2 linked regions of the Diceros bicornis minor genome follow. The protein of the gene in region 2 purifies or fractionates together with the protein of the main gene of each other region. This does not show direct contact. Links are inferred from orthologs where the notes say so. Each region holds a gene or a part of one and is shown on either strand. Other genes may lie near its edges. The genes, in order: SUMO3 and SAE1.

Region 1 (12,112 bases), on a different chromosome or scaffold from region 2:
TTCCTGCTCCCTCCTGGAACCCTTCTGAAAAGACATAAAGAAAGAAAAGGGGCATAAACAACAAAGAGAACAAGACAGGAGACCAGCCAGCAGACCAGGGACATACAGAGACACACAAATGAGAGAACACGCACACTGACACACACATGCATGCAGACACACACAGGAGCGCACACACACACCTGCACGCAAACTAACACACAGACGTGCACACACATGCTTCCAGGATGATGGAACCCTGAACAGCTTGGACATCTGGTGATGTTGAGTCACTGCTAATTTAAGTGAAATGAGTCACTGCTCATTTTTAAAGGCAAAGGCGCTCAGTCTCTGGGTGGCTGCTCTCCGGCCCAGGCGCACCTGCCTCTCGCAGTAGGCCTTCATCAGCTTGCTCAGCGGGGTGTGTCTCTTGATTTTGAACTGGACCACAGAGCCGTCCTGCCCAGCCACCTTCAGGTTGATGTGGTCGTTCTCTGTCTTCACTCCCTCCTGCAAAAGAGATGTGAAACTGGGCCTCAACACCGCGTCTCAAAATAGCCACCATTTTAAAGGGCAAGTCTTAGGTAATTGCTGGGTTTTTTTTTTAAGTCATTAAAACCAACCTAATTCTTAAAATTCTCTAGCAATCCAGAGTCACTCATGTGGTTTTTATTCTTATACAGAATTTATTTTAATTTCCATTTGTTAAGCATCCACGTATAAGGAAATGCAATGCAAATCTACAGAGTTTTCACAGATTGTTAATTCAAAGAAAAAATCTGCTTAATAAATCTAGGAAAAAACAGAGAAATCCATCTTTGTTATAAGGTTACTCTTATGAAACTAGTAAAAACACATATTCACAGGTTATCTATACTTATTTAGGACTGGTAAAATAAAACAAAAAAAAACCCCTTTACGACAGAGGAAACCATGGCAGGTGTAGTCGTGCTGGGAGGTCCAGTGTGCACGGAGCTTTCAGCTCCTCGCTGCCCACGACAGGCGCGAGGGGCCCCGTCCCTCATGCAGTTTCTAGTTTCGGCCAGTCCGACCTCCTTGGGAGTAATTCAGGGCATTTTATCTTCACAAAACTCACAATACACTCAAAGCTCCTGAACAATCACGAAACTGGGACACACATTCTGAAGTGATGCAGGAAGTCCGAGTCCAGGATCGGGGCCAGCAGGGCGGCTCAGGCTGAGAGTGAGGCCTGTGACCCAAGAGGGACGCCCAGCGTCCTGCTCCACGGGCCAGCGCACCTCATGTACCTGGCACCGCGTGGGAATAGGAGTCGTTTATTTTTGAACAAAACCACGAAGCTGACCCCAGTCCATCTGAAAGTACAGTTTTGATGGAAATCGCAGTGTTTTTTGCATGTCCTCCTGCTGACACTCCCATCTCTTCCCTGTGTGTCATCTGTCATGCGGTCATCTGTCCTGTGGCTGGAGGAGCTGCCCACCCGTAGGACTGAGGGCCAAGCTCTGGGAGGATTCCATGCTCCCTCCGTGTCCACGCCTCTTTTCTCCCCGGGCGGGGCAGGGCCCTGGCTCCCCTCCCTGAGCCCCTGTGAATAGCCTCACAGAGGGGACCAGGATTCCCTCAAGGCCACATCAGTTCTTCGGCTCCCGGAGATCCCAAGTGGGTGTGCTCTGTCCGGAGCTCCAAGTGGCCGAGAAGTGGCCCCAGGAGGGTGAGACTCAAGCACTGGGGCTGAAGGCAGACATCCTGGGGTGGCCCTTACACCCACCGCAGCTGGGGGCCAGCTCGGCCCTCCCTCTCTGAACCTCGGACTCTAGTACGGAGAGAAGGAGGCGATACAAAAAGGGGCACTCAATGACCCGAGGCCAGGATGGAGCTGGGGTCCCCAGCCCTTGGACTAAGGATGCATATGCTTTTTTTTTCAAATAAAGACTTCATTTTGAAATAATTTTACATTTACAGAAGAGTTGCAAAACAGAGATGGAGAGAGCTCCTGCATACCCCTCGCCCAGTTACCCCTATGTTAACATAGCACACACCCATGGTACACTGTCACACCTAAGAAACCAACATGGGCACATCACCAGCAACGAAACGCCAAGCTGTTTTGGTATTTCACTACTTTTTCCACTAACGTCCTTTTTCTGTTCCAGGATCCAATCCAGGGTACCACACTGCATTTAGAGATATGATTGTTTTTCAATTTTTTTTACTATGTTACAATACAAATAACATAAAATTTATCATTTTAACCATTTTCAGTGGTATTAAATACATTCAGAATGTCATACAACCATCATCATCATCCATCTCCAGAACTCTTTCCATCCCGTAAAACCGAAACGCTGCCCCCATTAAACATTAACTCCTCATCCCCCTCCCCCAGCCCCTGGCACTCATCATTCTCCTTTCTGTCTCTAGGATTTTGACTATTCTAGGAAGCTCATATAAGCAGATTATACAGTATTTGTCTTTTTTGTGACTGGCTTACTTTACTCAGCATAACATCCTCAAGATTCATCCATGTTGTAGCATATGTCAGAATTTCACTCCTTTTTAAAGCTGAATAATATTCCATTGTATGGATAGACCACATTTTGTTTATCCACTTACGCATCAATGGGCACTTGGGTTGCTTCCACCTTTTGGCTTTGTGAATAGTGCTGCGGTGAACATGGGTGTACAAATATCTCTTTGAGACTCTGCTTCCAATTCTTTTGGATAAATATCCAGAAGTGGAATTGCAGGGTTGTATGGTAGTTCTATTTTTAATTTTTTGAGGACCCTCCATACTGTTTTCCACAGCAGCTGCACCATTTCACATTCCAACCAGCCGTGCACAAGGGTTCCACACCCCCATCAACATTTATTGTTTTCTATTTTTTTGATAGTAGCCATCCCAGTAGGTGTGAGGCGGTGTCTCACTGTAGTTGCGAATTGCGCTTCTCTAATGATTACTGACGTTTTGAGCATCTTTTCATGTTCCTTTGGCCATTTCTATGTCTTCTCTGTAAAAAGGTCTGTTCAAGTCCTCTGCCCATTTTTGAATTAGTTAGCTTGTTTTTTTTAATTGTTGTCATTAAGTTGTAGGAGTTCTCTATATATTCTGAATATTAACCCCTTATCAGATGTGCGATTTGCAAATATCTTCTCCCCTTCTGTGGCTGCCTTTTGATTCTGTTCATAGTGTCTTTTGACGCACAAAATTTTTAAATTTTCATGAAGTCCAATTTGTCTATTTTTGTTGTTGCCTCTGGTGTCATATCTAAGAAATCATTGCCAAATCCCATGTCGTACAGCTTTTGTCCTGTTTTCTCTTAGGAATATTACTGTTTTGGGTCTTACATTTAGGTCCTTGATCCATTTTGAGTTAATTTTTGTATGTGGTGTTAAGAAGGATCCAACTTCATTCTTTTGCATTTAGATAGAGGACACATTTGCTTTTTTAAAGAAAAGATATGGATGTGTTCAAAACAAACAGATGCAGGGGCCAGAACACAGAACAAACAGAACCACAGGGCAGGGGCTGCAGACCAGGCAGCGGAAGGCAGCAGGAGAGCCTCACAGGGCCACTGGGTGCCCTGGCTTCCTGGGGAGACTGGTGCAGGCGGAGAAGGCGCCAGGCACCTCTCCCCTCTAACAGAGGGAAACCAAGAATGAGCAGCCTGTCCGAGACCCCTGGTGAATTCCTAATAAACAAAGAGTAAAAGAAATAAAAGAAACCCTGAAAACAATGACCACAATTCACTACCGTCAATCCCCCGCCTATCCAGAGGGGGCAGAAACTGTTTTCCGAATCGACCCACAAGGTTTTCTTTCCACCCCCAGGACAGCTTGGGAGTGAGTCTCCTACCCCTCCTCTCCAGGCCCAGAGGAGAGAGCAGCACGAGAGCCAGCAGGCACCGAGGGCACGGTAGGCAAGAATGAGGTGTGAGTGAGGCACAACCATTTAGTCGTTTTGGAAGCAGTTCAAACAAGTTTATTCAACTGAATTGGACCATGGATGTTGAAGACATGGGAGAGTTAAGTTTACACACACTGAAGAAATGAGTATCATATGTATTTCATTGTATTTAAACTTCAGTAAGAGGAAGCCACCCAGAAAAACAAAGGCAAGCATTTACCTTTGGCCTGGAGGAGTGGTATAAAAAGCTGAGTTGGCACCAAAATGTAAAAAGCCATGGCGGCTCCATCTGCATCTGGAGGCTTTCCTGGGGTGTGACCTTTTCTCAAAACACAGCGGGCAGAGTGCAGGCTTCCACTCTCCCTCCAGACCACGGGCTCCGTGCAGGTCCACCCCAACCCCAGCTCTGCCACCTGCGTGCACTGGGGACACGCCAGGCCGCAGTCTCAGCTGTGGAGGGGGTGCAATCTCCAGCACCAGGCTGGTATCAGAGGAAGCCTATGTGCAAAGCATTCAACTCAACAGCAGATCTTCCATTTGGTCAAAACAACAGACCCCAACGGTGCAGACAAAAAGCTTCAGGAACTTGCTTTTGCAGTTACAACCGTGGACCTCCCCAAGAACTGACAGCCAAGGCATCGGAGTGAGGAGAGCCAAATGGGGACAGGTGGAGGCACACCAGAGGGCACCACGGAGAGGGGTGGGCAAAAATCCCCAGGAAGAGATGAGGAGGGGCAGGTGCACACCGGAGGACAGCGACGGGGAGGGGGGCGCACCTGAGGACAGCGATGGGGGGGTGGGTGCACACCTGAGGACAGCGATGGGAAGGGGTGGGTGCACACCTGAGGACAGTGATGGGGGGGGTGGGCGCACACCTGAGGACAGCGTGGGGAAGAGCAGAATGGCGGGTGCACACCCGAGGGCGCGGCGGGACGGGCTGCGGTAAAGGTTGGCAGTGTGCACGGACAGGTCAGGTGGCCTCGCCGCCTGTCCCCAGGTGCGCCCTCTCGGCGCCCTCTCGCTCCGCAATGAGGGCTGGGGAGGGTGCCCCCTGGAGACGCCTCAGCAGACAGGTCCAGGGCCGGACCCGCGGACCGCGGTCCCGACGGGAGGAGCTGTAGTGGGGGAGGCTCTCCGCGAGGGAGGGGGTCCTGAGGAGGGGCGGCCCTGGAGAGAAAGTGGGGACGTGGGCTTCCCGTTGAAGTCGTGATTGGGGGGTAAAGCCAAGGCTGGAAGGCCCCGGAGCGGGGTAACGACGGAAGACGAGGGAGCGTTTCTCCGCGAAGGGGGTTGGCAGCGTGCGAGATCCCCGCACCCCGGGGTTCGAGCGCGGGTGGGCGTGGACGTGAAACCGAGCAAGGGCTCCTGGGGAGTGTGGGCCCAGACGCCGCAAGGCTCCCGGAGTCGGCGGGTCCCGGCTAGGAGAGCGCCGTAGTGGCGGGGGATCTCGGCGAAGGGGAGGTTCCCTGCGAGGAAAGTCCCCGCCCGCCCCAGACCACGTCCAAATTCCATCCCGGGCGGGGCTCCCGGGACGGGGCGGGGCCTAGCCGGGGGCGGGGCCCGGGCAATCACGGGGGCGGAGCTCGGAGGGCGTGGCAGTCGGGGCGGAGCCTGGGCGGGGGCGGGGCCTGGGCGTAGGGCGGGGCGGAGCCTGGGCTGTCGGGGGCGGAGCCGGGGCGGGGGCGGAGCGCCACAGAGCGGGGGGAGGGGAGCCGAGAGGCGCGGGGGGGAGGGGAGCCGAGGGGGGCGCGGGGCGCGGGGAGGCCTCGCCGGCGCCGCTCTGATCCCGGAGGTCGCACCCGGCCGCGGAGGGTGCCTGGTGCGCGGGCGGTGGCGGCGCGGGCGGGGGGCCGAGGACCGGGACCGGCACGCGCCCGCTGGCCCTTACCTTGGGCTTCTCCTCGGACATGGCTGCGGGCGGCGGCGGGAGGCGGCGAGGGGGAAGCAGGCAGCGCCGGAGCGGGCGAGTCACGCTCTCGGCCCGCCGCTCTCCCGCCGCAACTGCTCGCGGGACCGCGCTTTGCCCCCCAAATCTCGGCGTGCGGGTTGGTCGGCGAGGGGGTCACGTGGCGTTGCGCGTGCACGATGCGCGCCCCCCGGGGCGTCGGGCGCGCGCCGGGCCGGGCCGAGGTTCCTGACCGTTGGAAATGCGTCACGGGGCGGGGCCCGGCGTGAACCTGGCGGTCCTGACACTCTGGGGCGCGGAGGGCTTGGAGTCGGGGGTGGGGATGCCTGTACAGCACCAGACGCGCTCTCAGAGCTGTGGGGGCGCGGGACACCGGGGGGCTCACAGGGCATCGGGGGCGCACTAGGACCCGGGGGGCGCTGGAGCACCGAGGGCCCAGGGTGGCATACAGGACACCGAGGTCCCCAGGGGGTTGCACAGGGGCCTGGGGGGAGGTCTGGGCAGCGAGGGGCCTGGGGAGCGCTCAGAGTCCAGGCCATTTGGCCGGGGTTGTTGTGGGGTCAGGGACCAGGACTGGCGCATTATCTTGGGGCCTGAGGACAGCCTGTCCGCCTCCTCAGTGCCTTAGGTTCCTCGCCAACCGACCTGGTCCCTCGCCCACTTTAGCTCAGCCAGCCAGCCCAGGCGCACCCATTTATTTCCTGTGTAGAGAGTGCGTTTCTCAGAGCGAAAAAGGAAAATAAGGCCAGTCTGGTGAACCACCTCCAGTGGCCAAAGGGGACCTGGGTGAGTGAGTGGTGCCTTGAGAGGCACCCCACTACTCGAAAAGGCTCCATTCACCTTCATGGAGGAGCAGGAGCCAAAGGTCATGAAGAACTGTGGGGTGAAGGAAGAAAGCGCTCCAAGGCTGACCCACCTGTCAGCTCCATCCACTAAGGACACATCGCATTTGTTCATTTCACAAGCCCACACAAACTCCAGTCTGCCCTCCTTCACCCAGAGCTCCAGGGGGACAGAGACCTAAGACAGGGACCAGAGATGTGGAATGTCTTTCTGTCCACTTCTCACTCTGAGCTTAGCCAGGCTTCACTCTCTGCAGCTCCCTTTTCTCCCCTTGTCTAGTCCCGTTTGGCCTTCCGAACCTGGCTAGTGGAAGCTGAACCCTTGGGGAAGATGGTGGGACAGATGCAGGAGGCCCTCCTGTGACCGTTTTGCTAACGTTTCTGGAGTGCACACTGCACCAGATGCCAGGACTCCGCACCTAGTCCTCACAATAACCGATTCTACAAGTGAGGAACTTGAGGCACTCAGAGGTTAGATTACATGCCTGAGATCCCAGCGTTGGTAAGCAGTATGACTGGGATTTGAGCATGGGCAGTTGGTCAGTGAGCTTGACCAGTGTGCTCTACTGACTGTCGGGGCAAACCCAGGGTGAAACACTGCCTAGACAGGTGCTCAGGCGGCCATGGGGAATGTGCTGGAGAATGGGGGCCTTGGTCAGGACATCCTTTTGCTACTTGAGGCATGCATCCTTAGAAGCCCCTGGCTCTTCCTATCCTCCCTGTCTGTAATCCTAATGCCTTCAGATGAAATGGACCAGTGACAGCTGAAATTTATCTCACACTCAGGGTGTGCCAAGCCTGGTGCCAAGCTTGCATCATCCCACTCAAGCCTCACAACGCTCTGGTGCAAGGACCCTCATGATCCCTATTTTGCCAATTAGGAAACGAAGGTTTGGGGGGAAGGTGGACTGCACAGAGTCATGCAGCTAGGAAATAGCAGGGTCTGGATTTGACCCTAAGAGACTGAACCGTTTCCATCCTGTCTGAGTAAGGCCCAGCCAGCTGGATTCCACTCATTTCCTGTTAACATCACAAAGCTATGGAGCCATGTTTTCATGGACCTTAATTTCACAAACCATCTTTGACTCTTAAAAATTCACTTTCTTGGCTAGAGGCACCATTTAGGAGAGGGGAGGGGCCTCCCCAAAATGGGGCTGCCATGTCACAGGTTAACAAAGTCTCCCCATGAAAGGTGTGGTCAGAGCCAACCTCCTATCTCAGCCAGGTCCAAGGTCCTTTTTATCCTGGAATCTGCACTATGACCCACCTCTGTCAGAGAATCCCTAGGTAGAATGGCCAGCTCTAACTGTGCTTCTGGGAGAGGGGAGCCTGCAGGAACAAGCCCCATCCAGGACAGAGATGGACAATGGGGATCAGAACCATCCCCCAAGATTGTTGGCTCTGGTGTGACTTCACATGGGCAGTGTTCATGCCCATCATCAACTGGAAGACACCATCAATTATAAAGCATAATATTGTGTATGTCACATACACATTAAACTATGATGGGTTACGGATGGAAGACACATCCTGGTTTCAGACCTATTGAAGTGTGAAAAATATGTAACTTAGAATTGATGAAACACAATATCTAAATGTGTTACAATAAGAAATTAGTGAAACTATGGTCCATATAATGAAAGGCTGTATCACTATTTAAAGAATGTGTAAAAAAAAGAGTAGTTGATAACAGGAAAAGATGCTCATATGATGTTGATGAATTTTTTAAAGCAAATTGTTAAACTATTGTGGTTTTGAACAACTAGAAAATCTGTATAAAATATTTTGAAAATCTGTTTGAAGATATCAGGTAGCTACTAAAACAGAGAAGACTTTGAGGGGTGAAGATCCCAGAAAGAAGGGAAGTGGTTTTTCCCTCTGAGGCATTTGGTGATTAGTATGCTATATTAGTCAGCTGGGGCTGCCATAACAAAATACCACAGACTGGATGGCTTAAACAACATTTATTTTCTCACAGTTCTGGAGGCTAGAAGTCCAAGATCAAGGTGCCAACAGGGTTGATTTCTGGTGAGGGCTCTCCCCTTGGCTTGTAGAGGGCTGCCACCTCTCTGTATCATCACATGGCCTTTCCTCTGTGTGTGCATGGATATAGGGAGAGGAAGAGGGAGGGAGGGAGTGTGGGACAGAGGGAGGAAGAGAGACACAATGCAGTCCATAATATATGCAGTGGACAAGAAGTTGAGACACTGAGCAGAGCTTTTGAGTCTCATAGGATGGGGAGACAATAATTGAGCATGGCCTACTACAAGATAGGCTATGATAAATAACCTGGACCTTCAAATGGAGCACTGGGACCTACAATAGAGGAGTAAGGCTGAAGTGTAAATAGGTCACTCCTCACAAAGACTGAAACCCAGCTTCCAAACAGCTCACTCCCAGATTGGGCTATGCTGACCTGTTCTCCTTCCTATTGCCAGCCTGAAGCAAAGAAAATCTCTGGAGGAAAATAGCATCATCTAGGGCCTCAAGTTAACTAAAATATCTTCATACACAATATCCAGAATTAAATAAAAGCTTGCAAAGAAAACCAGGAGACAAATGATCCAAAACCAAGAAATAGTAATAACCCCACAGGAGACAGAGTATTGGCATTATCGGACACAGACTTTAAAGTAACTTTAATTATTTTAAATAATTAATATGTTAAGGAAAATAGATAATAAGATGGAAATTTTCAGCAGAAAATTAGAATCTATAAAAAAAAAGAAATGGAAATTTGAGAACAAAAATACAATTTCTGAAATTATGAATTCAGTAGATGGGTTTAACAACAGATTAGACACAGTGGAAGAGATGATTATGAACTGGAAGATAGGTCAGAAGAAAATATTTAGACAGAAGCAGAGAGAGAAAAAGTATGGAAAATACAGTAAAAGGCCTAAAAGCAATATACAATATGGTGGAAATATCTAACATATTTGTAAAATGGAGACTCAGAAGGAGAGAAAAGAATAGGCCAGAAGCCATATTTGAAGAGAGAATGAAAGAGAATTTTTCAAAATTCACCAAAGATAATAAACCACATACTACAAAGAAACTGCTAACCCAAATCAGAATAAATACAAAGACAGCCACACCTGGGTATATGACAGTTAGCCTGCTGAAGACCAAAGACAAGGAGGATATCAGCCAGATATTGAAAGGAGAAACAAAAAGACATCTGACTTTGCAACAGAAACATGGAAGCCAAGCGACAATGGAATAACATCCACAACGTGCTGAAGGAAAATGCCTACATACAGTTCTATACCCAATAAAACTATTGTATAAAATACAGAGAAAATTTTGCTGTATAAAAATCAGAGAGCTGGCGTCAAAGCTTTCTTGTCTTCCTCTAAGTTTTGGGTTCCATCTCTAATCTGCCTGCTATTATTAACTTTTCAGAGTCCTCAGATAGTTGCTTACCTGTCTTGTTCACCCCAGAAGTCTCTCCTTCATTTTCAAAAGATATTTTGCTGGATATAGAAGTCAGCGTTTAAAGCCTTCAAAGGTGTCATTTCACTGTGCTGATTGTCAGAATACATCCTGAGTGCAGCCCTTTGGGAGGTCTTCTGTCTCTGAAGAGGAAACAGGATCACTGATTAAGCTCCCCCCCCAGGTTCCAAGGACATAGGCTTGCCTGAATGTGGGCCTGGACCAGTGCAACGGAGAGTTCTACTTGCCACACCCCATTCCAGGATAGCCAGCACCAAGGAACAGCCTGGAGCAGTCCATCACAGTGAGGGGCAAGAGCCTGGACAGAGACCCTCCCCAAGGTGCAGGTGCACAGAGAAGGCCTAGAGTTGAGGGTGGAGCAGGAACATTAAGAAAAACCCTCCAGCAAACCATCCTCCACCCTCAGCACAAGGTGCTGCTAGAGGAATTTGAGGTGAGTGGACACTAAAGGTAACCACAGCAACCACAAAACCCAGATCCAGTCAACTCCTAGCCTGCTTGACTCAACCCCTACAATGGCAGCCAAGCAGAAGAAGAGGAATGTCCATTTCCAGATATAAATACTATTAACCTCAGTCTCTATTTCCTACAGACAATATCTGGCTTTCAGTAAACAATTACAAAACACACAAAAAAGAAGGAAAAAACCCCACAATCAAGACACGAAAATCAGAGCCAGCCCTGGTGGCCTAGTGGTTAAAAGTTAGGTGCTTGCCAGTTTGGCAGCCCAGGTTCACTCCCTGGTCGCAGAACCACACCACCTGTCTGTCAGTTGCCGTGCTGTGGTGGCAGCTCACATAGAACTAGAATGACCTACAACTAGAATATACAACCATGTACTGGGGCTTTGAGGAGAAAAAAAAAAAAAAGAGGAAGATTGGCAACAGGTGTTAGCTCGGGGTAACTCTTTCCCTGCAAAAAAAAAAAAAAAAAGACATGCAAATCAATAGAACAAGATTCAGATATGACTCAGATGCTGGGATTGTCGGAGAGGATTTATGTTAAGGCTCTAGTGGAAAAGATAAATACCATGAAAAGGTGGGGGATTTCAGCACAGAGATGGAGACTATGAGAAAGAGTCCAGTGGAAATGCTAGAAATAAAAAACAGAGTAAGAGAGATGAAGAATGCCTTCCACAAGCTCGTGAGTAGGCTCAACACAGACAAGGAAAGAACCAGTGAACTTCAAGCTAAAGCCAGAGAAATAACCCAAACTCAAAACAAAGAGGAAAACATTGGGGTGAGGGCAGGACAGAACAGAGCAAACAAAAGCCCTGGAATAATTTCAAATGGTCTAACATATGTGTAATTGGAGTAACAGAAGAAGAGAGAATAGTGCAGAAGAAATATTTGAAAAAATAATGGCTAAGAATTTGCCAAAAATAATGAAAGATACCACACCACAAATCCAAATTCAGAAAACCCCAACCAGAATTTTAAAATATACATATATAATAAAAAGGTACACCAAGACACATCATCTTCGAACTGACAAAAACTAAAGGTAAAGAAAACATCTTGAAGTAGATAGAAGGAAAAAAGACACATACGTACAGAGGAACAGTGATGAGAATCACAGCACACCTGATGCAAATGCTGTGCAAGCCAGAAGACAATGAGGACACTGGAATGACACCTTGAAAGGCTTTAAACTCAGATTTCTATACCCAGCAAAATATCTTGCAAAAATGAAGAGAGACTTCTGATGTGGACAAGACAGAGAAAGCAACTGTTTGAGGACTCTGAAGGTTAATAATAGCAGGCAAATCAGAGAGGGGACCTAAAACTTAAAGAAAGACTTGACGGGGTGACTTTACAAGCATTCTTCCTCTTTGATCTCCCAACTTTGACCTGAGGGTGACCCAGTATGGAATTGCACAACATGTACACTGGCAAAAACTCCAAGAGAAATCCTCTCTCTTTGGACAGAGAGAAAGAGACCCTGCAAGCTAAAGTGTGTGGGTTAAATCCCAGGTGTTTGTTTTGTTTTCTGGTTTTTTGCTCACCCAAACCTCTCCCAAAGAGATCCCACTGGTGGAGCTGCACT
Region 2 (12,703 bases):
ATGGTGGTACATTTTACGTTATGTATATTTTACCACAATTTAAAAAAAAAACTGCCCTGAAATTTAGTGGCTTGAAGCAGCAACAGTCATTTTATTATCTTTCACAGTATCTGTGGATCAGGAATTCAGGAAGGCTTGGCTGGCTGGTTCTGGAAGAGGACTTTTCATGTGGTTGTAGACCATGAGGCCAGAACTAGAATAGTGGATGGCCAGAGAGCTAGGGGCTGGGCAGAGATCTCTCTGTCTTCTTGTAGTTTCAAGGCTTCTCCATATGGTTTCTTCTCATGGGCTGGTTTGGGCTTCCTTTCAACATGGCAGCCTCAAGGCAATGGGATCGCTTATCTGGCAGCTCAAGGCTCAAACTCAAGTGTTCCCATGAACAGGGTTGAAGCGGCCTCCCCTTTCCTGACAACTCTGAAGTTAAGCAGTGTCTCTTCTGCCACATTCTATTGGTCGAGCAGTCACCAAAGCCCGTCCAGTTTCGAGGGAAGGGAACATAGATGCCCCCACCCCGTCAATGGGAGTAGTGGCAAAGGGATGTTGCGAGAAGAGCATGTAGGATGGGAGATATTGTTGTAGCCGTCTTTGCAAAATGCAATTGGCCACAGTGATGATCAAGAGAACTTAGTGAATCCCCTTGTTGCCATAATTATTTCCTTAGTTGGCATCATTTAACCCTGGGAATATTTGGAGGTAAATATAGAAATGTTCAAGTGACTCAGACTTCTGGAATTAATGTTGAAGAAATGTATGCATATTTGGCTTTTTATACACTGGAAATGTTTAGGAGAATCTGGCCTAGTAGAGTTTCCTGGTGAGATTTGTGGGTCTCAAAAAAAATTCTCAAAACTTTTTCCTGCATTGATTTAAGGACTAATGACTAACTCTAAAATGGTTTAGCCAAAAAACATGTGTGTGTGTGTGATAGAGAGAGAGAGAGAGAGAGAGAAAGAATAAATGTGCCAAAACTTCAAGTGAATGAATCTGGATAAAGGATACTTGAATATTAATTGGACTGTTTCTTTCTGTAAGCTTGAAATTCTTTAAAATAAAAAATTTTGACAAAATAAAATAAAATAAAAATGACCAAATAGTGTCGATTATTCTCATTCTGTCCCTGAACTTCAACCCATCTAGACCCTCATCGCATCCTCTGGAGTAAGGAGTAAGGTCGTGACTGGAGGCTGGATTGAGGGTCAGGAAAGCAGCTAGGAAAGGGCCTTTCCTAGGGGGCCAAGCAATATTTGGAAGAAACATTACAAATTTGAAGAGGCATGAGCTTCTCAAACATGCTCATTTCAAAGAGAGCCTCAAATCATTTTAGAATGAGCAAAGTGATTTTAGAGCAAAGTGATGCTCATTCTGGAAAGGTTGACTGTCATTTTTAGTGGTCAAGATCCTGAACTTTTCATGTTCTCTATTTGACTCAAAGTACAATGGTCGCATGTTGTAATTAACAAATAGATTTCCAGACTTTAAAAAAAAAGTCTATACACCTCAAACTGCTACAATGTAATATGTCAGTTATATCTCAATAAAACAAAAACATTCATGATCTGGTTTCTCAATTGATGCCTTTGTCCCCTTCAGTCACCTGACTTCTCTTCACTCCCCACATCTCTGCTTGTTCATTACTTCCTCTGAGAGATCTTCCCTGACCCCACAGTACAAAATACTCCCCTCCAAGCATCTCCTAGCACAGGGCTGAGCACAGAGGAGGTCCTCGGGGAAATTTGAATGAATGAGTATGTCAGAGAGATTAAATCCAGAAAGATTGAGAGTGTCCGCAGAGAAAGGGAAAGAGAGTCAGAGAGAGAAAGAGAGTTGGGGTCAGGCAAAGAGGGAGAGAGAGAGAGGAGAGTGTGAGGAGAGAGAGTTGGTGGGGGTGGGGTGGGGAGAATACTCAGGTTATCCAACGCTGTGTAACAAGCGATCCCAAAACTTAGTGGCATAAATCAACAGCAATCATTTATTTTGCTTGCAGATCAGCACTCTGGGCAGGGCTTGGCAAGAATGGCTTGTCTCTCGTCCCTCTGGGGTGACTTGACAGTCTGCCAGAGGATCCACTTCCAAGATGGCTCATTCACATGGCTGGCAAGTTGGTGCTGGCTGTTGGCTGCAGCTGTTGGCCTGGCTGAGGGTCAGGAGCTTGGATTCCTCTCCATGTGGACCTCTCCCTGTGCTGTTTTGGCTTCTGCTAGCTTGGAGGCTGGGTTAAGAGCAAGTGTTCCAAGAGATTGACAGTGGAAGCTGCCCATTTCCCTTTTTTTTTTAACCGCTTTACTGTCATATTCACATACCATGCAATTCACCCATTTAGAGTGTACAATTCAGTGGGTTTTGGTATATTATTACTTTTTGTGTGCGTGTGTGTGTGTGTGTGTGAGGAAGATCAGCCCTGAGCTAACATCTGTTGCCAATCCTCCTCTTTTTGCCGAGGAAGACCGGCCCTGGGCTAACATCCTGCCCATCTTCCTCCACTTTATATGAGACGCTGCCACAGCATGGCTTGACAAGCGGTGCGTCGGTATGCACCCGGGATCCGAACCCCAGGCCGCTGCAGCAGAGCGCATGCACTTAACTGCTACACCATGGGGCCAGCCCCTTGGTATACTATTAATTTTTTAAAATTGTGGTAAAAAATATGTAACATAAAATCCACCATTTTAACCATTTATAAATGTACAATTCAGTGGCATTAAGTACATTCACAATTTTATGCAACCATCGCCACTACCTATTTCTTTTTTCATCACCTTTTCACTCAGGGTTCTTTTTTTTTTTTTTTTTTTTTGAGGAAGACCAGCCCTGAGCTAACATTCATGCCAATCCTCCTCCTTTTTTTTTTTTTTCTGAGGAAGACTGGCCCTGAGCTAACATCTATTGCCAATCCTCCTCCCTTTTTTCCCCCCTTTTTCTCCCCAAAGCCCCAGTAGATAGTTGTACGTCATAGTTGCACATTCTTCTAGTTGCTGTATGTGGGACGCAGCCTCAGCATGGCCAGACAAGCGGTGTGTCAGTGCGCACCCAGGATCCGAACCCTGGCCGCCAGCAGATCGTGCACACTTAACCGCTAAGCCATGGGGCCAGCCCCTCAGGGTTCCTTCACTTAGCATGTTTTCAAGGTTCATCCATGTTGTCGTGTGTTATCAGTGCTCCATTCTTTTTCATGGCCAAATAATATTCCCTCATATGGATATTCGGCATTTTGTTTATCCATTCATCTGTTGATGGACACTTGAGTTGTTCCTCCTTTGGCTATTGTGAATAATGCTGCAATGAAGACTGGCATACAAGTATCTGTTTGAGTCCCTGCTTTCAATTCCTCTGGGTATATAGCTAAGAGTGGAATTGCTGGGTCATATGGTATTTCTATGTCTAGCTTTTTGGAGGGGAAGCTGCCTGTTTCTTAAGGCCTGGACCCAGGAATTGGCCCAGTATACACTTCTTTTTTTTTTTTTTTTTTGGCTGAGAAAGATTCACTCTGAGCTAACATCTGTTGCCAATCTTCCTCTCTTTTTTTTTTCTCCCCAAAGCCCCAGTGCATAGAGTATATTCTAGTTATAAGTCCTCCTAGTTCTTCTATGTGAGCCACTGCCACAGCATGGCTACTGACAGATGGGTGGTGTGGTTCCACTCCCAGAAACTGAACTTGGGCCACCAAAAGCAGAAGGCACTGAACTTTAACTGCTAGACCATCAGGGCTGGCTCCCAGCATTCACTTCTATCATATTCTATTGATCAAGCAGTCACAGAACACAGATTCAAGGATAGAGGACATAGATTCCCACCCCCCCCCAATATCGATGAAGAATATCAAAAATGTCATTTTATGGATTTATGGACATGCTTTAAATCTCCCACAGAGTTTCTGGGGGTCAGGGAATGAGGGCCAAGGAGAGACCCTCAGGGAGGCAGAATCAGACAGAGAGGATGAACTGAGCCGCGAGGTCTTGGCACGGGCAGCCATCCTCTCTGCCTGCTTTATTAGTTTTAACCTTTATTTACTCTGCAAAGCTCAGCTGATCATCTACATTCACACAATATCCTTTCCTGACTCCTACACTATCCTTTCTTGACTCCGACACTGTCATAGCTCTCTCTTCTTTTCCTTCACAGCGCTTCGCAAAGTTTCTATTTATATTTATGCCATTATTTTGTCTCTCCCACTGGACTGTAACTGCCTCTAAAGCAGGAGTGTGTCGATTTTTATCATTATTGTACCCTCAGGGCCTGGCACAAAGTCAAACATGTAGTAGGGACGTGGTCAATATTTGCTGAGTAGTTGAATTAGTGAATAATCCTTTGACTGATGAAGTACTGTCTGTCTCCTCTACTAGACTGTCAGCCCCACACAAGGCAAGTTCATATGTCTTTATTCACCTTATTTTCACAGGGCATGGTGCATAATCAATGCGGTAACCAGCCTCTAAGATGGTCCCCAAATGATTCTTTTTTTTTTTGCCTTGTATTCACATTCCTGTATCGTCGTCTCCCACAATGAATAGAGGTGACCCGTGTGTGACCAATAGGATATTGCAGTGAGTGACTTCCAAGGCTGAGTCATCAAAGGCATTGATGCTTTCTTTTTTTTTTTTTGTGAGGAAGATCAGCTCTGAGCTAACATCCATGCCAATCCTCCTCTTTTTTATTTCTTTTTTTTTTCTTTTTGCTGAGGAAGATTGGCGCTGGGCTAACATCTGTGCTCATCTTCCTCCACTTTATATGGGACGCCACCACAGCATGGCCTGACAAGCGATGCATCGGTGTGCGCCTGGGATCTGAACCCAGGCTGCCAGCAGCAGAGCGCACACACTTAACCGCTATGCCACGGGGCTGGCCCTGGCATTGCTGCTTTCAGCTTGCTCTTGTGGATCACTCACTCTGGGGGATGCCAGCTGCCATGTCATGAGGACAACTCCAGCAGCCGGGTGGATAGGCCCACGTGGAGAGAAACTGAGGTCCTCTGCCATCAGCCAACAGCAACTTGCCAGCCATGTGGGTGAGCCACCTTGGAAGGGGATCTTCCACCCACGCCATCAAATGACTGCAGCCTCATGAGAAACCTTGAGCCAGAATTGCCCGGCCAAAGTGCTCCTGAATTCCTCACCCACAGAAACTATAAGAAATAATAAGTGTTTATTGTTGCATTGTCCCTAAATTTTTACATAATTTGCTCTGTATCAATAACCAGTAGAGTAGGCATTGGCCAATTTTTTTGAATGATACTGTGGTCTTGGATGAATGGCTACGTCTTTCTGAGTCCCAGAGTTGTAATCTGTAAAAGCGGAGGAACTATCCACCTCTGAGGTTCACAGAGTACGTACCTTACCCAGCAAGATCAGAGCACATAGTAGGAGCTTAACATACCACCAGCAGTGTAACCCAGTGAAGCATGTGGGCCACACAGCCCGGGTTTGAATCCTAGCTTGACTACTTCTAAGATACAGGACTTAGTTGAGGCTACTAATACTTAACTCTGCTGGACCTCAGAATCCTTAGCTGTGAAATGGGAATATTAAAGAATTTATCTAATTTTGTAAGATTAGAGAAATAATCCATGTGAAGCCCATTTCAGCTCCATGAGAGGGCAGCTATTTTTTTTCTTTTTCACTGCTCTATCCTTAGCACAGAGATCAATTGTTGACACGTGACAAGCGTCAATAAGTATTGTTGAATGAATAATAAAAAGGCACCTTGCCTAAGGAAAATACATATTAGCTATCACTAGCCTACATGGCCGTACCTGATTCCCTACCTGATTCATCTGAGATTTGATCTCTTACCACTTGCCACCCTCACACTCTGCTCCAGCCACCCTGCCCTCTCCACAGTTTCTCCACTATGCTAGCACACTCCAGCTTCAGGGCCTTTGCACCTGCTGTTCCCCCTACCCAGTGTGGAAACTAATAAAAGAAACCTTAACTAATTAGGAGTCAGGAAGGCCTGTAGGGGGAGCTCTCAACCCTATCACACATCCTCAATTACACCAAACAGGAAGACACAGAGCCTTGCATCTTGGACAGGAAGTAAAACTACCTTACTACTAAAGGAAGATTTCTTTCCCTACCGGGCAACAGCCCAGCCAATGAGAAATGCTGCAGCCCAGCCAATGAGAAACGCCACAGCTCAGCCAATGAGAAGCCTGTTGCCACCCTGAACTGTTACTTTTCCCTCATGGACTTTCTTTTAAAACAGCCCCTCCCTACTGCCCTTTTTTTTTTTTTTTTTTTTTAATGAGGAAGATCAGCCCTGAGCTAACATCTGTGCTAATCCTCCTCTTTTTTGCTGAGGAAGACTGGCTCTGAGCTAACATCTATTGCCAATACTCCTCCTTTTTTTCCCCCAAAGCCCCAGTAGATAGTTGTATGTCATAGTTGCACATCATTCTAGTTGCTGCATGTGGGACACAGCCCCAGCATGGCCAGAGACGCGGTGCGTCAGTGTGCGGCCGGGATCTGAACCCGGGCCACCAGTAGCGGAGTGTGTGCACCTAACTGCTAAGCCACGGGGCTGGCCCCCTACTCCCGGTTTTTGTCTACAAAGGCAGCTCCCCTCTGTTGTTGAATTTGCCAATGGTTCCCATAGCATGCACATCTGAAGTTGCAATTCTTTTTACTATTCTTTAATAAACTCCTTTTGAGGATTTTCAAGTCAACTCCAGAAATGTTCCATCTCTCAGTTATCCACATAGCTTGTTCCTTCAGATCTCTGCTCCATGTCACCTTCTCTGACAGACCTTCCCTCACTCTGTAGTCCCATATCCTGCTTTATTTTTCTCCAAAGCATTTATCACAGCCTGATTTATATTTATTTTTCTTTGGGCCCTCCTCAATAGCTTGTAGGCTCCATGAGGGCAGGATTTGTCTATTTTATTTGCCAGCCTATTTCACAGCAGCCCCAATGCGGGGATTTCAGCAGGCGCTCCACAGATATTTGCCGAATTAATAGCCTCATAAATAACTATTTGGGTATCTTTGTGGGGCCATAAGCCGCACCATTTTTCTAGCCAGGATTGGCCGGAGCCGCCATCACGTGACTGTCAGTCCCCGGCCCGCCATTGAGGCTGGGGAGGCCCACGTGATCCCAGGTTCCAGGAGCGGCGCCGGGCGGCGGCAGAGGTACTGCGCAGGCGCGGCCTCTGGCGCAGGCGCAGACGCGGCGCGGGCGCGCGGCCGGCGGCGGTTGGTGGCGCGTGGGGCCGGCGGACGGTTGATGAGAGCAGAGCTCGCGCTCAGGCAGCGAGAGCCGGCGCCATGGTGGAGAAGGAGGAGGCCGGCGGCGGCATCAGCGAGGAAGAGGCGGCGCAGTATGACCGGCAGATCCGTCTGTGGGGATTGGAGGCCCAGAAACGGTCAGGGCCGCTGCGCCTGGTGGGGCGGAGGGTCCGGAGGGGGCGTCTGGCCTGAGGCGTTGGCGGCCCTCCGGGAGCGGGAGAGTCTAATTCGAGGGGAGGAGGCGGGAATTACGTCCCCGGGGATGGTAGCCCGCCTGAGAGGGCTGGAGGGGTTGGTTTGGTATGTTTCTGGAAGGTATGGGAAGCGGGGGCGCCCCAGGGTGATGAGAGGGCGGTTCTGAGTGATTGGAGGCCTCTGGCAGTGGGCGTGGGGGCGTCCTGAGGGATCAGGAGGATTCAGACTCAGGGACTCGGACCCCCGGAAGGGTCGATGGTGGGGTCGAGGTCGGGGCGGTGTGCTTAGGGCATAGGAGAGGCCGGGAATGCAGGGAAAGGGTGAAGGCGGGGGGGCGTAGTTCATTCATTCATAGATGGCGGGCGTCTGTTCTCTGCTGGATGCTCGGGAGACCGGCGAACCGAACAGACGCGAGCTTGCATTCTTGTGGCTTCCGGGGGGTGGATCGATCTGGAAGAATGAGGGTTTTGGAGCAAGTTATTTCGAGTGTGAGTCTGAAGAGGTTGCCCGTGTCTAGGTTTGGGGGTGTGTCCAGGCAGGACAGGTCACTAAAGGTTGGGCGTACCTTGGGTATTGAGGAGTCGTTATCGGAGGGAATATCTTTGAAAGAGATGATTGCTTCCATCAGATATGCATGGAGTACCTGCCATGAGCTCTGTTCTAGGCCCGGAGCGCGTATCAGTGAGCTAAACAGACTGCTTCCCCACGTGGAGCTTACATTCTAGTGTTGGAGACACAGATAAATAATATAATGTTAGGTAATTGCCGTGCCAGGAAGAAAAATAAAGCAGGATCAGAGGATCAGTGAAGGATGGCGAAGTAGGAGAGCTGTTTTGATGGGGTGGCCAGGGAAGGCCTGTGAAGAGGTAGCATTGACCCTCAGACCTGGATGGAAGCAGGAGCCAGGTGGCCATTTGGAAGAACCTTCCCAGCATAAAGAACAGCAAGTGTAAGATCCTGGAGGCCAGAGCACGCTTGGCAGACTAGAGAACGAGTGGCTGAATTGAGGAGTACTTTTTTTTTTCCTAAGTGTGCCAGGAAACCCATTGGAGAGTTTTGGGGCGGAGAAGTAACACGATCTGATTTGTGTTGTAAAAGGCTCACTCTTGTTTGGAGGATAGATTGAAGTGGGCAGAAGTGGAAATAAGGATTTACCGTTTAGGAGACTGCTGCAAGAATCCACTTGAGGCATGAATAGTGGTGGCTTGGGACCCTAGAGAAGGGGTCAAATCTGTATTCTGGATATATTTTGAAGGTGGAGGGGGCAGGTTTTGCTGAGGGATTCAGTGTGTGGGGTATGAGAGGCAGAACTCAAGGGTGACTCCAAGGTTTTTGGCCCAAGGGATGGAAAGATGGAATTGCCATTTACTGAGATGGGAAAAAACTGTAGGGAAGAATCAGGAGTTCTCTTTTGGGCTTACGTTTTAGATGTTTATTATATATCTAAGTAGAAGTATGTGAGTGAGTTCAGAGATGAAGGCTGGGTGATGGGGAGGGTCTGTGATGTGAATGAGTACAGAGTATAGAATTAATTGATCTAAGGGTCGGGGAGGCAGGCAGGTTAATTTAGTTTGAGGGGTGGAAGCTTCTAGATTTTTTTGGTGAGAGAGAGAGAGTGTGTGTGTGTGGTGGTGGCTGGGGGGAGGTGGGGGTTACTGCAGGCTCATTTCAGGTGTGTGGGGTCTTCTGCGATTGAGGGGGGAGTTGTCATCCTGAGGCATTAGCGAGCATTGGTCGAGGGTTGAAGGCACCTGAAATGAAAAATTAGAAATTAAATGATGAGAATGGCCCTGAAGACATAGGTGGGGTTGGTTGATTTTAGGAACTACAGTTTGAAGGACTGGAGTGTTAAGAGGTCCTGAAGGGTGGGGGAGGGGATCCTAAGTACTAGAAGGGTTAACCCTAGGGATTGGGGGCAGCAGTTTTGTTTGAAGTAGGGTGAAGTAAAGTTGGTGAGGATTAAACTGGAATGTATCGAGGGAGCTGTCAGCAGGTTAGGAGTGATTTCTCTCTGGAGCACTAAGTAAGGCACGGGGGCTTCTGAGGAGGAGATGACCTAAGGGGCAAATCAAAGTCAGGATGTGGAATTCTTGGGAGATGGGAGTTATTCTGAGGGAGTGGAGACTGTGGAGTGGAGACTGAGGGAGTGCTGAACTCGGTGGAGAACCTGAAAAAGATTGGCTGAGAGTCCTGGGAGGGAAGGAAGTGGTTATCTATAATTTGGAATCCGTATTTGTGGACAGTCTTAGAGTTTATTAAAGTGCTGTCATGTCCATTTTTCAGCTGGTGTCATAGCAGCTCTTTGGAGTTGGAAGGGCAGTGATTTCCTCCCCTCTACAGATAGGAAGGAGGCTCCACAAAGCAAATTGACTTGCCTCTAAGGGAACTCGAGGTGGCCAGGAGAACTCTGGGGACTGGGGTTCCTTGGTGAAGTAGAAGGCGGCCTGGGAATCAGAGGCTGCATTCTGGCTACAGTTTTGCCTCTGACTGTGATGTTGGACCAAGGTTGTCAGAGAACTGGAAGAGAGAGTAATAATAATAAAAAGGGCCTTCAGGAGAACTCATACAGTCTAGAGGTTAAAAATGGGCTGTGGGCCGGCCCCATGGCTTAGCGGTTAATTAAGTGTGTGCGCTCCACTGCTGGCAGCCCGGGTTCGGATCCCGGGCGCGCACCGACACACCGCTTCTCCGGCCATGCTGGGGCCGCGTCCCACATACAGCAACTAGAAGGATGTGCAACTGTGATATGCAGCTATCTACTGGGGCTTTGGGGAAAAAAAAAAGGAGGATTGGAGATAGATGTTAGCTCAGAGCCGGTCTTCCTCAGCAAAAAGAGGAGGATTAGCACTCATGTTAGCTCAGGGCTGATCTTCCTCACACACACACAAAAAAAGGGCTGTATTTCTCGTACAGTGTTTTTTTACATTTTTAAAAATCAGTTGCCAGTGTTTAAAAATCCAGAGAATTGGCCAAATTTGGGACAGTTTGAGTATCAGAAAGAATAAAATTAACTTCATTTAACCGCTACGCCATGGGGCTGGCCCTCCATAGAATTTCTAATTTATGTCTTTTGAAAAATAGAAAAGTCAGACATCCCCGCGTTGGTTGGAGCTAAGTAGCGGCTGCGTCTTCCTCTTTTACATCTTACTTTGCCGTTGTCTCCATCAGTTCAGCTTCCCTCGTTGACGTAATTGCCCGACCCCTGTAAGCATGTGAGTTTGCATCTCTTGCTCTGGTGCGTAGCCCATTTTATGGATGAAGGTCAAGGAAGGGAGCCAACTCGCCCAAGGTCTCACACCAAGTAACTAGAAGAAGTAGGACTTGAATCTAAGTCACTCGCTTCAGGTTCACTGCTGTGTCCATGACGGCTCATTTTCCTCAATAGGGACTCATTCCTTCTGTCAGATTAACATAGAGGCCAGCGTCGAAGCCGGCAGCTGTGTGTGTTCTCAGAATGTGTGCCTCAGCGGTTTTTGCACTGCCTTTCACAGCAAAGGCATGTCTATTTTTTCTTCTTCCACTCCACAGTAATTTATCCCCTATCTAGGAGTGAGGAAGGGAGGGTGACTGGAAAGAGGGCAGTAGATTATAAGCTCCCTGAGGGCAAGCACTTTATCAGTGTCTGGAAATGAAGGTAAGGGTTTGACTGGCCTCTGTTAAGTTTCCAGCGCTTGCGGGTTGATAGACATTCAGGTATTTGTTGAGTGAATGAAATGATTGTACATTGCGAAGACCTGCAGGACACCTGGGTTGCTCTGCTAACTAGCCGTCTGACCTTGGGGCAGTCACGCAGTTTCTTGGCCTTTGGTTCCCCATCTGCAAAAAGGAGGGCTGAGTGTGACTGCATCTCTCAGGGCTCTTTCAACTCTGAAATTCTGACTTTACAAAGAAGGGACTGCAAGAGCTTCCCTGTTTGCAAACATGTTACCCAGCAACTGCTGCTGTTCCAGAGGACTTCTCTAGACACGCATTTGCCGTAAGAGTGACCGAGCATGTACCGTGTGTAGAGGCCAGTCCTGGTTGTTCATATAAGGACAGTTTATTGTGGTTGATAGTGGTTAATGGTTGAGTTTGTTTGTTTTGTGGTGAGGAAGGTTGGCCCTGAGCTAACATGCACCCATCTTCCTCTATTTTGTATCGGGTATGCTGCCGCAGCATGGTTTGATGAGCGGTGTGTAGGTCGGCGCCCGGGATCTGAACCTGCAAACCCCTGGCCACCGAAGCGGAGTGGACGAACTTAACCGCTATGCCACCGGGCCAACGCCTAATGGTTGAGTTTGAATCTCCGCTCCAGAACTTCTTAGTTATTCAGCCTTGGATACATATCTTAACTTCTCTGCGCTTCCGTTTTCTCCATTTGTCAAGTGGAGAGAATAGAATTGACTTTATTAGACTGCTGGGAAGTGAATGAGATAATGCACAAAGAGTGTCTGTGCACAGAAAGCATTCAGTAAATTAGAGCTACAATTATTTGACAAGTATAAATCACCAGCGACAAAAGAAGGGAAACTACATAGGAAATAGGTTGAGATAATAAGGCAAATGTAAAACAGGAGTCAGTGGGATAAGTGGAGACTCCAGAAGGACGAGGAAGGCTGTAGGAGGAGCAGATTTGCCTAAGTAGATCGCAGTCGGGGAGCAGTCTTCAGTTCTGTTTTGGATTCTGACAAGACTTTTAGTTAATATAATGAACAGGCAGTTGGATGGAGCAGGATTGTAGATTAAAATGAAAAGTACTGTTAAGTGAAGAAGAGTATCTCTAGAAGGAGAAAATGGTCAAATCTGTCAAATGCTGATGGCCCCACCATTTGTCTGGTTGCACAGACCGGAAACCTAGGAGTCCTGTATTCCTCTCTGTCCCTTATACCCACATCCAGGCTATTGGGAAGTCCTACGGGCTCTGCTTCAAAGTGTGTCTCATCCCTCTTCATTTCTTAGTCCAAGCCACACCCAGCATTTCTTCCCCTCAGCAGTCTCCTCACTGGTCTCCCCTGTTCCTCTTTATAATCTGTCCTCCACATAACAGCCAAACTGATTTAAATTTAAAAATTGGATCACAACAGTCCTGCTTAGAGCCTTCCAGTGATGTCCTGTTATACTCAGAATCCGAAGCTTTTAACATCCATTGCTTTTCATGCCCTGCCTTATCTGACCTCGCCTCCATCTCTCTGTCTCGCTCCATTGAAGCTACTTGAATCTTTGTGTTCCTTGAATATGCTAAAGCTCTCTCTGGCCTCAGAGACTTTGTGCTTACCCTCCTTGAAATAGTCTTTTACCAGATTTTTGCATGA

Evidence for each region.
Region 1: the proteins of SAE1 (region 2) and SUMO3 purify together in Homo sapiens (affinity purification with mass spectrometry; 3 studies listed by BioGRID and IntAct, with this or other methods). This does not show direct contact. The link is inferred for Diceros bicornis minor from reciprocal best matches to the Homo sapiens genes SAE1 and SUMO3.

Annotation. Positions count from the first base shown.
Region 1 is NC_080766.1:44,195,880-44,207,991, forward strand, and holds the start of SUMO3 (small ubiquitin-related modifier 3), read right to left. Parts: upstream 5,858-12,112; 5' UTR 5,772-5,857; coding exon 5,751-5,771; intron 490-5,750; coding exon 361-489; intron 1-360. UniProt on the Homo sapiens protein: Ubiquitin-like protein which can be covalently attached to target lysines either as a monomer or as a lysine-linked polymer. Does not seem to be involved in protein degradation and may function as an antagonist of ubiquitin in the degradation process.
Region 2 is NC_080773.1:22,595,420-22,608,122, forward strand, and holds the start of SAE1 (SUMO-activating enzyme subunit 1), read left to right. Parts: upstream 1-7,186; 5' UTR 7,187-7,256; coding exon 7,257-7,354; intron 7,355-12,703. UniProt on the Homo sapiens protein: The heterodimer acts as an E1 ligase for SUMO1, SUMO2, SUMO3, and probably SUMO4. It mediates ATP-dependent activation of SUMO proteins followed by formation of a thioester bond between a SUMO protein and a conserved active site cysteine residue on UBA2/SAE2.